Linked DNA regions of Astyanax mexicanus. Each later gene encodes a partner of the first gene's protein in a complex. Links are inferred from orthologs where the notes say so. Each region holds a gene or a part of one and is shown in the gene's direction. Other genes may lie near its edges.

Region 1 (7,677 bases):
CTCCACTCACTGATCACCAGCTCCACTCACTGATCACCATCCCACACTCACTGATCACCAGCTCCACTCACTGATCACCAGCTCCACACTCACTGATCACCAGCTCCACTCACTGATCACCAGCTCCACTCACTGATCACCAGCTCCACACTCACTGATCTCCAGCTCCACACTCACTGATCACCAGCTCCACTCACTGATCACCAGCTCCACTCACTGATCACCAGCTCCACACTCACTGATCACCAGCTCCACACTCACTGATCACCAGCTCCACTCACTGATCACCAGCTCCACTCACTGATCACCATCCCACACTCACTGATCACCAGCTCCACTCACTGATCACCAGCTCCACACTCACTGATCACCAGCTCCACTCACTGATCACCAGCTCCACTCACTGATCACCAGCTCCACACTCACTGATCTCCAGCTCCACACTCACTGATCACCAGCTCCGCACTCACTGATCACCAGCTCCACTCACTGATCACCAGCTCCACACTCACTGATCACCAGCTCCACACTCACTGATCACCAGCTCCACTCACTGATCACCAGCTCCACTCACTGATCACCATCCCACACTCACTGATCACCATCCCACACTCACTGATCACCAGCTCCACTCACTGATCACCATCCCACACTCACTGATCACCAGCTCCACTCACTGATCACCAGCTCCACCAGAGAAACACATCAGCCGTAACAATCTACCAGTCACCTTTGGCAGCAAAAGCAATGGTAACTTGCTCTTACAGCCTACAATACTTATATTACACCAATGCGCGGCTAGGATAATGTAGCTTTGGACACCAGACACAAACACAAAAATGGTAAGTAAGAGAGAGGCCACACCCAAAATGCAAATATATGGTACAAGGAGCCTATAGGAAAGCTATATGTTCCAATACTGTAGAAAGAGCATTGACATGTTTAGTAAACTAAAAGTTGGTTGAAATCGCATTTATTTCATTGCCTCAATAAAAGCATTTTTTAATTTTCAGGTTAAAGTTCTCTGAACTCATTTTATTGAGTTATTCCAGCCGGTAAAGTTTATTCAATTTGATAATATTAGTTCTCCTGACTAAAATCACAATCAAAATCACTTTTTAGAGTGTACAGGTAATCCCGCAGGACAGATACACTAGAGGAGCTTGGGTAATATGTATGGGTGTTTATTGTACACACTATGATTAATATCACCATCTACTCTCTATAATATTCAGGGCATTAATAAATCCATTATCATTTAGCATAAAAGTCTATTCAACATACAACTTTTAAGTACATACTGTACATCCTTAAGAGTTAAATCAATTTAAAAACTGAGTTTTTAGTCAGTTTAGAGGGTTGATTGTCCTTTGCAAGCTTAAAATAACACTAAAAAATAGTTACTAATATTTCTTTTCATATTAATGTTTTTCAATTAAGTCAAGTCAATGGTTCAGTAATATACAGCACCTATGTTTGTGCAGTTACCTTTATTCTGTGTTCCTAGATCTATATACAGATTAAACAATTAAATAAAGTACTGTTGTGTGAACAAAACTCAACTTAAGTTGAATCAGTTTAACCGATTCAAGTTCTCATCTAGCTTTGACTCTGTTAAGTTGAATGAGCTTAAAATTCGATATATTCACAACTTAACTGACCCAAAGTAAAATGACGCTGACTAAAGTTGAGCCAGTAAATATATATTTTTCAGTCTCAGGTGAAGTGTAGGTGCTGAGGGCAGTGTGGCAGTGTGCCGTCTGTTTTTGATGATCAAAGCTTTAACAGAATAACAGATAAAGGAGATAAAAGGAGAGATAACAGCTTCTAAATCACATTTCCTTTTGTTCCTGCTGACGGCAATTTCCTGAAGCGCTGAGTCCTCCTTCCTCTGACGTCTGGAGCAGAAACTCAACCAAAACACCTTCATAAACCTCCAGCTCTGATTCAACAAATAACCAACGCTGATCCAATAAAACCCAGCCTGATCCGATTTATCAGGGCCAGGTGATTATTGAACACCGTTACTGAAGAATCTGGACCTAACAGTGTTTCTGAGCATCAGGGGCGGAGCTTAATTGGATCAGACTGATGGTTGGATGAGCAGAACGCAACAGTGTAATCCATGTAATCCAGTATCTCCATTTTTTTAATTTTTAGTTTACCACATAATTTTGACACACAGACTGTCCCTCAGACTGTTTCAGGACTTCTCGATGAATGAATTGAAATTAACTCTTTTTACATTGACTTCCATTGAAAGTTAAGATATTTTTTTCTCTTTCCTGAGTTGCTGTTTTGGAGATACTTGTTTTTTATTGTATGACAATAGTGTTTAAATATGTACATGAATATGTATATTAGAATACTGTGTTAACTTTTTATTTATTTATAATTTTTTTAATTTCACTTTTTATTTTTTGTTGACAATTTTTGCATCTTAAATTCAGTGTTTTTCCATTATTTAAAAAAAAAAGTTCTGCATTGTAGATTAATACTAAACACATCTAAATGATGTAGAAAAACACATGGAATTATTATTTAGTAAACAAAAAGGTGTTAAACAAATCAGAATATGTTTTATATTTTACATTCTTCAAAGTACATCAGTTTTACACATCTCTGCTGAATTATCTCAGTCAGCTTTATGAGGTAGAATCAGCCAGACAAGGACAGGAAAGTGGAAACACGTGAGATGTGTAACAAGGGGGCGGAGCTACAAACAAAAAAGGTGACCAACAGTGGCGGAGACACAGGATGTAAATCTTTAGCTGACACTATAGGATTCTTCTTCACCTCATTGATGATTCTGCACTGTGCTCTTACAGTCATCTTTACAGGACTTTACCACGCCTAGGGAAAGTAGCGGCAACAGTGCTGAAATTTCTCCATTTGTAGAGCGCCTGTCTGTCTTGCCGTGGACACGTGAACATCAAGGCTTTTAGAGATACTTTTGTAACCCTTTCCAGCTTCATGATTTAAGTCAACAATTCTTGAACGTAGGTCTGCATTTAATGACCAATTTATGCAGAAATCCAAGTTTAATCCCAAAGGATTTACATATTTTTTATTGCAACTGTATTTAAAATCAGTTAATGCTTCGACACAAAGACACATTATGTTAATATTACTATAACAATAGACTCGTATGTGTAAATGGGTTTTTCTGATACTCTTATCATTTCTGTTCCGTTTGTGTTATTAGCACGGGTTAAACAGTCCCGCATTGTGATGTGGCTCAGTTATCATTCAGTAAACAGGATAAAACCCATACTCTGCTCTCACTCAGATGTTTGGTAAATGTTTACCGTGCTCGGTGGTTTCTAAGGATTCTAAAGCAGAACAAAAACTTTCATTTGATCAGCGACTTTTAAATAAAACACTGGAAACCAGCGTGAGATCAGGGTCAGATCACACTCAGCCTCCTCCTCTCAGACCCGTCTGAACCATTATCTTCATTTCTGTTTGAGTGGGAAATGAAACTCGTCTTATGTAAATAAAATTAAAATAAATATTAAACAGTGTGTGACCTAGTTTTTACACCACGCTGCTCATGTGGTTCACCACACTCCATCCACTGGAGCACAAATAAACAGATAAACAGGAAGGAAAAATTATGCCTGACTCTTCTACAAACTGATCTAACATTTGTTTATCCGATACAGACAATAATTCATAATTCCCACACAGACATTGAAACATCCAGGTCCTGAAAGCAACCCCAAACCAAGCCACTCTACCACCACCACCATGCTTTACAGATTGTATAAAGTGTGAGAAGCCCATGTCAGTAAAAAAGCTCCACTTTATCTCCAGACTTTATCTGTCTTTTTACCTGTCAATAAGCCATTAACTGCATTTCCATAAATCAAGCTAATAACTACTACTAATATATATATATATATATATATATATATACAGCTCTGAACAAGAAAATAAAAGACCCCTTCAGTTTCTGAATCAGTTTCTCAGATTTTGCTATTTACAGGTTTATATTTGAGTAAAATTGTTGTTTTATTCTATAAACTACAGACAACATTTCTCCCAAATTATAAACAAAAATATTCTCATTTAGAGCATTTATTTACAGAAAATAAGAAATTGATCAATATTTGGTGCAATAATCCTGGTTCTGGTTTTTAATCACAGTTATTTTTTTCATGCATCTCTGCATCATGTTCTCCTCCACCAGTCTTACACACTGCTTTTGGATAACTTTATGCAGCTTTACTCCTGGTGTAAAAATTCAAGCAGTTCAGTTTGGTGGTTTGATGGTTTGTGATCATCCATCTTCCTCTTGATTATATTCCAGAGGTTTTTAATTTGGTAAAATCAAAGAAACTCATCATTTTTAAGTGGTCTCTAATTTTTCTTTTCCAGAGCTGTATGTTTAACAATCAATTAGGTCTTTAAAGAATGATTAACATATCTCTCTCTCACTTTCTCTCTCTTGCTCTGTCACTCTCTCAGACGGATGGGAGGGGCAAGGGAAGAGAGGGAGAGATAGTGGTGGAGTGGTGAGGAGGATAAGAGTTCAGGTTAATCATTGATCAGGGGTCCTCCTTCCAGACATCACTCTCCATTCTGAGTAGCTGAATGTGTTTGTAAGTGAGTGAGCGAGGGAGGGAGGGAGGAAGAGAGAGAGAGAGAGAGAGAGAGAGAGAGGGAGTCAGTTAGTTGCGACAGGTGAAGAAATCAGATAGATGTCTTGTCTTCTGTATGGAATAGAGAATCTGTAGTCCCTCTCTTTGCTGCCTCGCCTGGTTTATAGGATGAATCCAGGTTCTGAACCAGCTTTTTATTCCTTCGCTCTACGTCTGATCGAGTGACCGAGTTAAAGATGACCCACTTCTTGTCTTGTCCTTCGTTCTTCTCTTTTCATCTTTCCCTCCTTCTCCTGACAGCTTGTCTATGGGATGGAGTTGAGAGTTTGTCGGGAGACGGGAAGAGTGTCTGGTTAAAGCCGTTGAACCACAGCGACTTTCTGTCGGGGACTTTTCCAAATGGGTTTCTATGGGGCGTTGGGACGTCTGCGTTCCAGACGGAAGGTTCTTGGGATCTGGACGGGAAAGGAGCGTCAGTTTGGGACAATTTTACTCGTAATCGTATCCAAGGAATGGGGTCTAACACTCGAGCGGACACTGCCAGCGACAGCTACGCCCTCTGGGAGCAGGACGTAGAGGCGGCGCAGTACCTCGGCGTCAACTTCTACGCTTTTTCGCTGTCTTGGCCGAGACTCTTTCCAGACGGTGATGCTACTGGAAAGGCAAACTCTAAGGCAGTGCAACACTATCGCCGGTTGATCCACAGGATAAGGGTGCAAGGTCTTGAGCCGGTAGTCACCCTGTTCCACTGGGATTCGCCCCAAAGCCTGCAGGAGCAGTTTGGCGGCTGGAAGAACCGGAAGATGGTCGAGAAGTTTGCAGACTACGCCGCATTCTGCTTCACCACGTTTGGACGAGCTGTGCGATACTGGATCACGATGCACAACCCAGCTCTGGTTGCGCTTCTCGGTTACGGGACAGGGGCTCACGCGCCGGGGGTGATCGGCGACCCAGCCGACCGCTTCATTGTAGCCCATAACCTCATCAGGGTGAGTGCGGGGCCGGGAGGTCAGAGGTGACGCTGGGGTTCATTTTTTTGGTGAAGTGTTTTTGAAGGAGCCTGTTGAGAATAATGGTGGTTAACTTTTCTAATGGTGTTCATTGACCTGCCTTGTTGAGATAACAATGCTCCAGGCCCATTCTCTGCTGGTGAACTTTGAACAGCACTTTATGGGCGCCTACCTGAGTCCTCAGTGTGTTTTTTTTTTTTTTTTGTCGGTGAACATCAATATAACATCAATATAATGTGTCTTTTGTGTCACAGGCAACTCTGTCTAACAATACAATTTTTCCCCAAGATTTAACACATATATAATATATAATATACAGTTCTTTATGAATATGAACTTGTTTTCTTTGCATTATTTGAGGTCTGAAAGCTCTGCATCTTTTTTTGTTATTTCAGCCATTTCTCATTTTCTGTAAATAAATGCTCTAAATGAGAATATTTTTATTTGGAATTTGGGAGAAATGTTGTCTGTAGTTTATATAATAAAACAACAATGTTCATTTTACTCAAACATAAACCTATAAATAGCAAAATCAGAGAAACTGATTCAGAAACTGAAGAGCTCTCTTCATTTTGTCCAGAGCTGTGCACAACAGCACCTTATAATATGTTTTTGTAATACGGTTTTGTAATATTTAATATAAGATTACTTAATGAGTGTTGCAATGTAATAAATGTTCAAGTTTCACTCTGTATAAATATAACTATAGATATACATTTGTAAACTTTTGTTTATTTTGTAAACAATAGGAACTTAACAGATTTCCTATGAAATGCAAACAGCTGCAGACAGCTTAATCATTTTCCATGTTATCACAGGAAATAGTGAAATTTTAGTGATTTATTGCATAATAACAAACCTAAAGGGCAATCTCGGTCACAAAGCACCCAAACAACCAACCAGCCTTCTTATCATAAGATTAAACACCGTATACTGCACCTGAAACTCTGTTTACCACTGGGTCCCAGTGTAGAAAACATTATAATAATTATAATAATACTTAAGAAAAAATATATATTTTGCAATGTTTATATAAAAAGACAAAATAGAAATGTATTATATTTTTAAATATTGAAACAAACAAATACAATTACTTTAAAATTACACCCAGATTTCAGAGCTCAAACTTAATAGGTATTGCAAAGGCATCAGTGAATTTAAGCATCAGTAAAATAATTTAAAAGTTTTAATGTAGACAATATGGACACATTAAAAAATGAATTGTCTATATTTTCTTTTGAAATCATATAAATAGTTTAGTATACTGTACAATACAATGTAAAAGTGAAAAGTTTGAGAAAACTTAAAATTTCAATAAAACTTACTGCATTAGATCTTTGAGTTTTTTGAGGCAACTCAAACTTTTAAATTAAAGTTAGCAACTAGGAATTCGTGAATATTAAAAATCTGTATTTACTGTCAGTCATATAAGCTTGCGGCAATTTGTTTGGATCAAGTCAATATTTTTGTTCAGCTTTTATTTTTATTAAAAAATTCTTTAATATTGTTGATTTATTTTTCATCCTTGGTTTATTAATTAATGATTTTATATTTCTCATATCTCCAGGCTCACGCTGCAGCGTGGCACATATACGATAAGCAGTTCCGTGACCAGCAGAACGGTCAGATATCCATCACACTCGGCTCCCACTCGGTGAAACCCTTCACAGCCACGGCAGCCAATGTAGAGCTGTGCCAGAAGTCCATGGAGGCGGTGATTGGCTGGTTTGCAGAACCCATCCACGGTTCTGGGGACTATCCGAGGTCCATGAGGGTCCAGGAGCTGATCCCAGAGTTCACTCTGGAGGAGAAGCTGTGGGTTCGAGGAACCGCTGACTTCTTCTCGCTGGCGTTTGGACCGGACACGGCGCGGGGGGTCCGCAGTCAGGGGTCTCGCTTTGGTCAGAACATGACGCTGGACCTCAGGAAGGTTCTGGTGTGGGTTCAGAAGGAGTATGGAGATCCGCGGGTTCTGGTGGCGGAGGGCAGTTGGTTCAGTGATGCGTCTGAAGGGGTGGAGGACACGCTCGCTGTGTACAATATGAAAACCTTCATCAACCAGG
Region 2 (7,216 bases), on another chromosome or scaffold:
ACTGGAATTATTGTAATACAGCTCTGAAAAACAATTGAGACCAAACCACTTAAAATGTATGAGTTTCTTTGATTTTACCAAATTAGAAACCCCTGGAATATAATCAAGAGAAAGATAGATGATCAAAAGCCATCAAACCAAGTTGAACTGCTTAATTTTTTTTGCACCAGGAGTGGGATAAAGTTATCAAAAAGCAGTGTGTAAGACTGGTGGAGGGGAACATGCCAAGATGCATGAAAACTGTGATTAAAAACCAGGGTTATTCCACCAAATAGTGATTTCTAAACTCTTACAACTTTGTGAATATGAACTTGTTTTCTTTGCATTATTTGAGGTCTGAAAGCTCTGCATCTTTTTTGTTATTTGAGACATTTCTCATTTGCTGCAAATAAATGCTCTAAATTACAATATTTTTATTTGGAATTTGAGAGAAATGTTGTCCGTAGTTTATAAAATAAAACAAAAAAGTTCATTTTACTCAAATACATACCTATAAATAGCAAAATCAGAGAAACTGATTCAGAACCAGACAAAAAAATTACTTACAAAAATGATTTTAATTATTTTAGACAGACGTTGCGTGTATGGATGCATTTGCTCATCTGTGTCAGCAGCAATGGGTGCAAAGTAGCAGAACGTATTGATTAGAGGGAGTGTCCATAAACATTTGGACATATAGTGTCATTATCTGCAGTTTTGTGTTTTCCCAGCTGTAACACACCTGAATCAACTCAGGAAGTGGTTGATAATTATCTAATGCTGTGAGTCGTGTGTTAGAGCAGGTGCATCACTAAACTCTGTACTGTAGAGGGACGGGGCCTAATGACCACTGTTACAACCAGGACTGCCCCTCAGACACAGCGCAGGCCTTCTACTGCTGTCTACTGCTGTCATAGAGTGCCATCTACTGGCAGCTGGGAGACATGAGGGACTGTTTAACCACTTTATTCTGTTTTGTTCAGTAGCAGGTAGAGTATAGTGTATATGGGGTTAACAGGTGTCTGTGGATGAGAGGTACTACGTTGACTAAATAAATGAGAGCAAATATTGATAATAAAAACTTAAACCATGTTAATGGTTTACTTCGTAATCCAGGAATACTCTGCATGAGAGTGAGTATTCCTAAACAGAGAGGAATTTCATGAATGAGGAATATTTATTTATAAACAAGCTACTATGTACCCTTGTGCAAACAGAACACGGTGCACGACTATTCCCATTAGGCTCGACAATGAAAAAAAAAAGACATAATGTGCAAAGTAAACAGCAGTGTGGAAAGAAAGCTGTGTTATCTGTGCCGGATGACCCAGTCGCACAAGGCCTGCTGGGTAGATCTGTGCCAGATTTACTCCGGATCTACACTGGTTTGTACTTTAGCCCTGCAGAGGCCTGCTGTAATTTTCCCCGTCGCCACACAACTAGAAAACAACTATGTTTATATTTCTCATTATGTGTTGTTGTTTTTTTTGCTTTTTATAACATATATATTAATTGTAAGTATATCTAAATGCAAATTGTAAATACACAATTGTAGATGCAAAAATGTCAAATTGACCTGTGCAAACTGAACACTTTTTTCAGTGAATTTACTTATAATAATTTTTAATGCATTCACATACTTAAACAAAGAACAAGTATACACACATAAACAAATATGTTATATATATATGTTATAAACAGACAAAAAGAAGTTAAATATTTAGACATAGACAAATAGCAAGGAATTAAATACAGTGACATGCTACATGTCATGGAGCAAGAACTATTATTGTGTTCCATGACTTTTGCCCTCTCCAATATAAGCTAAAATAAAACTGACCTGTGGGATACGTGTGTGGGTCTCCTCCAAGGTGAAGTAAAAATACTTTGTTACATTACTTAAGTAAAAATGTTGGTTTTCTATACTTTACTGTCGTAATATTTTTCAGATATAATCACCCCACACACACTCACACTCCAGCAAGAACATAGCAGACGTATGTAGCCTAGTATGAAGATGATCCTGCAGAGACTCCAGACAAACTCCAGTCCAACTAAGCTTCTTTAATATATTTACATTCTACTAAAATACATTCACTTTCAATGAGCATATATGCAAACATATATGAAACAGGGAGGAGCCTAGTGCATCCCAAATTGTCAACATCAACATTTTAATATAACATTATAGTCATAATGGCTTTTAGAAAAAATGTGTTTTGGGGAGAGGGGGTAGTGCACTATAGGACTCTGTGGGCGTGTCCTAAGCTTTTGCCCTAATGGTATTTTTTTCCTGACATTACTTTTCCTTTTATGCTTTAAGTAGTTTTAAAACCAGTACTTTTACACTTTTACTTAAAGGGTAAAAAGCTTGAGGTGATACTTCAACTTCTACAGACGTATTTTAAACCCTAGTACCTATACTGCTATAATGATCAATTTACAGAAAGTTGTTCCATGACTTTTCAGTCTAGTTTTATTCTAGATTTAGACTAGCAGGAGTCTAGCAGGAGTGGAAATGCTAACTGGCTGAATTTAAAGTGGATCCTGTGATAAACTACCACAGAACTTCATACCAACTGTGAAGCATGGTGGTGGTAATGTGGCAGTCGTAAGACAAGCTATCTTTTGACCATTGAGAAAGTTATGAATTCTATATGATTAAAAGTGATCTTTCTGTGACAAAACAAGAAATTAAAATCTTAAACCTTATTTAATGTGGTATTACTGAAATGAACATTCATGGTTTTGGTTGAAGACACGTCAAATTTCATACAGTTCTTCAAGGAAGAGTGGAACAAAATTCCTCTGTGGTGTGGTAATTAACAATTTTTTTTTGCAGTTATTGAATATGGCAGCTAAGGAGAATGGGATTATCTTAAATAAATACAGGAAATAGCTCCTATCTATTTACTGATGGACAGTAAATACTGATGATCTTACATTCAGGAATTAAGATGTTTTTAAATGCATTTTCTTGGCACTGCAGATAGAAGAATACACTGTATGAACAAATGTATTGTGACATCCGTTCATTAGACAGACAGACAGACAGACAGATAGATAGATAGATAGATAGATAGATAGATAGATAGATAGATAGATAGATAGATAGATAGATAGATAGATAGATAGATAGATAGATAGATAGATAGTTACATATTTATACTAAGAAATAAAGAGATGCTACAAACATGACAGACAGGAAAGGTTTGATTTAAAACATTGATAAACTAATCTACACAGTACCAGTCAAGTTTGGACACGCTGTCAGTGGTTTTTTTATATCTTCTGCATTGTACAAAAATACTAAGTTTCCCAAACTATGAAGATAAATATATTACTTAGTAAACAAAAAAGTGTTAAATAAACCATACTATTTTATATTTTAGATTCTTTAAAATAACACATTTTGCTTAAATTACAGCTTTTGAGGTAGGGTCACCTGGAATGGCTTTCAGTTAACAGCTGTGCTGAACTCGTCAAGCGTTAATTACTTGAATTTCTTAAAAGCATCAGCTGTGTTGTGAAGAAGTATATTTGGTCAACTAAGTAAAGAAAAAAATGTCAATCAATCTGAAACAATAAGAGCTTTTAAAGTATCCCCAAGTGCAGTCGTAAAATCATCCAAAATGTTCTGATGAAACTGGCTCTCATCAGAACCGGCCCAGAAAAGGAAAAGCGAGAGTTACCTCTCTGTTGCAGCACAGGATAAGTTCATCAGCCTCAGAAACAGCAAGTTAACAGCACTGCAGATAAGAGCACCTAAATGCTTCACATTTTGTATTTTGTTATTTTTAACACTTCTAAAATTACTACATGATTCTTTTTGTGTTCATTTATAAATAAAGGAAAATAAACAAACAAAACAAAACAAAAAACATCGAATGAAAAGACATGTGTCCCAAGTTTTGACTGATACTGTCTCTCACAGCGCTGCAGACGGAGCACGCGAGCTGCAGAGCGGGCAGGTGCAGCGCGCGCGCCAGTAAAGGTGGAGTTTGAGCGCTGCGCAGTGTCGGGTGGGCTGGTCTGGGGGTCTGCAGTAGCGCATCCCGCCATCTGTTGGACATCTAGAGGGTGTGTTGTGGTCGGGTTCGCAGAACCGCCAAAAGGGGGAAAAGGCTTATCGATCCAGCTGATAAGAGCAGGGTTTAAAAAGGCCACATGCCACAGACTGCGCCAAAACAGCGCAACGTGCGGCACAAGCGCGCGACACGGACACTCACACGCGCATACACTCAAACACGCGGACACGGGGACAGGGGGACACGGGGAAGACCACCGACATGCTGGTGCTGATACTGATCGCCGTGTGCGGAATTAGCGCTCTGTTCAGCGCTCGCGCCGCCGGGATGCCGCTCTCGGACGCGGGGCCGCACGTGTCGGGGGACTGGGGGGAACCGGTCCGACTGCGGCATCTGTTCGCAGCCAGACCCGGACTGCACCTGCAGATCAGCGCAGACGGCAAGATAGGAGGATCCCACCTGCAGAGCATCCAGAGTGAGTATCACACCTGAGCTACAGAACCCTCAGCACAGGCAGGCAGGTAAAATAACATAAAGGATTTTTCTGAGTAAGAGGCCATCAAGGGCCACAATATTCATATAGGGGTCAACATTATTTCACCAGTCAACTGAACTGCTAACTGAAGCTTCCTATGAATCTTATCAGACACTTAATTTCTACATTTTCACCATTTTTGACCAACTAAATAATGAGGGCACTACAATGAACTACAGAAAAGCAGCTATACTGAAAAAGAGGATTGTACCTTGAACCAACTTAATATATTAGTTTTTCTAAATTTATATTTATGATTTAGTTAGAATCTAACATTATTAATTAAAATTAATAAAAATATTATTAAAATATTACACAAGGACCAAAAAAAAATGAATTCTCAGGCTTAATATTAAGTGTTTCACTTTTTACTTTGGAAAAAAAACTTATTTTCTATTACAAGAATATATTGTCTTTACCTTTGAAAAAACTAATTAAATCACTTAATTTATTTTTTTGATTCAGTACAAACTACAAACTAAATTTTCTAATTATACCTTCATATATTTTCTTTGAGGTTTAAATAAATTAAAAAAGCCTCAATACTCCAATCAAATCTTTGACCAAGCCCAACCATCAACGGAAGGTGGATGATTTTAAAGTCTTTTAGTATTTCATTTTTCACACAAAGACAGTGGAATTGTGTGATAATGAAAGTATAAGCACAGTAGTGCTCAGCAACAAAGAAAATCGCAGCTTGCTCTTACAGCCTACAACACTGAGACCAAGCAGTCAACTATCACATAAAGCTTACCTCGGGAGTTAAGAGAAGGGAGTCTGAGGAATACAATGCCACACTGATGGTACTTCCACAATCTGGCAAACATTTTAGTAGAAATGTAGAATAGAGTACTATTTGATTCAGTGTATTCTTGTCATATTAAAGTGAAAAAATGCACTGTAATATGGATTAGGAAACACTTGCAAAATTACGTGCACAGTTTATTTATCTAGCTACTTTATCTGGCAGAAATGCTGATACCTAGCTACCTCTGTCTCTGAATTTATACTTCTAACAATTACAACCAACCAGTGAAATAACTAAATAAACAAGAATTTGTCATTTAAAACATTAACTATCATATAACTGCCAGACAAAATCATTTAAATGTTTATTCTAACTTATGTTTATTAAACTTCTAAACCTGCATTTTTTATTTAAAAACGCATATAGCATTTTTAGTTTGTAATAAGCACAAAATTGCTTAACTATGAGTTGCCATTAAAATGTTACTTGAATGATTTCAAATACAGAAATCTGTATGTGTTTTTTTGGTGCATGGAGTGCAAGGGGGCAGAAAACACGAATCTGAAATTATTAAATAAGTATTATTATTATTATTATTATTATAATCAACAAAATAACACACTATTTTTGCAGAGGTCTGAAACATGCATTAAAAATCATACATTTATACCATATACAAGAAAACAGTACACATATATTCTCTGATGTATCGTTCAAAATCTTTATTTTAACCAGTTCACAATAACACTCCTGCTAATACCTATTTTCAAAAGGTCTTAGATGGCCTAACTGTTTAATAATTGGTAAAATCAGATAAAAGTTTGCCGTTAAACTAATTAACATGCGAAGCAAATTATTTTATTTGAGTTGAGTTGGAAGGACTACTGCCTCTATCACCTGGTCTAAACAATTGGTCAATAAGCTGGGTTATCCTGATTGATAGCTTGGTGAGGATGGACATGCTGACACCAGAGAAACCATCAAACCCAAACTAAATCATACCCTATGCTGGCTAAAATATTATCTTTAATCTAGGCCTGGGAGGTTATTTGAATTAATTGAATTACTGTTTTAATGTGATTTTTAAAATAAGATAATGGTCATTTGTAATGAAATGTAATAGAAACAATTTTATGAAAAAAGTTATGTAAGAACTAAAATACTCACAATAGTAACTGTCAGTCATATAATTGAAGAATATCAAGATTATTTGTTTTTAAAACATTACCCAGCCGTATTCCAACCATTTATACTATTATGACTAGCATGACTAGCTAGTATGTTCTAGTTTACGTGTTTAGGATCCACATTTGGCCCATTAGATTTTAGTAGATATTTTAATGACGTGATTCTAATTGAAACTAAACTCTTATTACAGGTCTGGTGGAGATTCGCAGTGTAGACACTGGCTATGTGGTTATCAAAGGAGTGGCCAGCTCCCGCTATCTCTGCATGGAGGCAAATGGGAAGCTGTATGGATCGGTGAGTAGCCCACCTATTATTAATAAACACAGTTCACACCTGCCAGTATTAATGCATCTGTAAACTGGCAGAATATTTATTATGCTAATTTACTGTAGGCTGCTGGGTCGTAACTCTAAACGCTAAACCCAGACTCAAGTAAAAGTACCGATGATAAAGTGACAGAGTGAGTCAAGTAACATTCTATACCAAATATATACACAAAACTTGGCAGAGGAATAAAAGTCATAAGCCAAAATACAGAAGAATTCATTAAGCATGATTTAGGCATGATTTCAGGAGTTTTTAGTAGTTAATACAGTGGTTCTTGATAAATTAATGACACCTGTTTTTTTATCTGGATAAATGGTTCTTCACAGTTTATACATTTGAAAGGGTTCTATACAGTATCAGAAATATTTCTGTGTATACTGTATACTGCACAGAATATTCAACAATTGCAAT

What was found. Proteins that work in one complex are often made in the same cells at the same time.
Region 2: the proteins of klb (region 1) and fgf19 are in contact, whole or in part, in a crystal structure (PDB 6NFJ), measured with the Homo sapiens proteins. The link is inferred for Astyanax mexicanus from reciprocal best matches to the Homo sapiens genes KLB and FGF19. Residues at the interface, in NP_783864.1 of Homo sapiens: Phe379, Lys380, Val392, Leu394, Trp419, Phe420, Thr421, Asp422, Val425, Thr431, Tyr434, Met435, Asn438, Tyr643, Glu693, Arg696, His743, Asn824, Phe826, Met832, Gln848, Phe849, Leu850, Gln851, Ile853, Leu862, Phe931, Phe942; in NP_005108.1 of Homo sapiens: Leu192, Thr194, Asp195, Ser196, Met197, Pro199, Phe200, Leu202, Val203, Thr204, Ser211, Pro212, Ser213.

What each region holds. Positions count from the first base shown.
Region 1 is NC_064426.1:1,309,838-1,317,514, reverse strand, and holds the start of klb (beta-klotho), read left to right. Parts: upstream 1-4,643; 5' UTR 4,644-4,840; coding exon 4,841-5,593; intron 5,594-7,181; coding exon 7,182-7,677.
Region 2 is NC_064423.1:33,837,474-33,844,689, forward strand, and holds the start of fgf19 (fibroblast growth factor 19), read left to right. Parts: upstream 1-4,117; 5' UTR 4,118-4,268; coding exon 4,269-4,482; intron 4,483-6,668; coding exon 6,669-6,772; intron 6,773-7,216. UniProt on the Homo sapiens protein: Involved in the suppression of bile acid biosynthesis through down-regulation of CYP7A1 expression, following positive regulation of the JNK and ERK1/2 cascades. Stimulates glucose uptake in adipocytes. Activity requires the presence of KLB and FGFR4.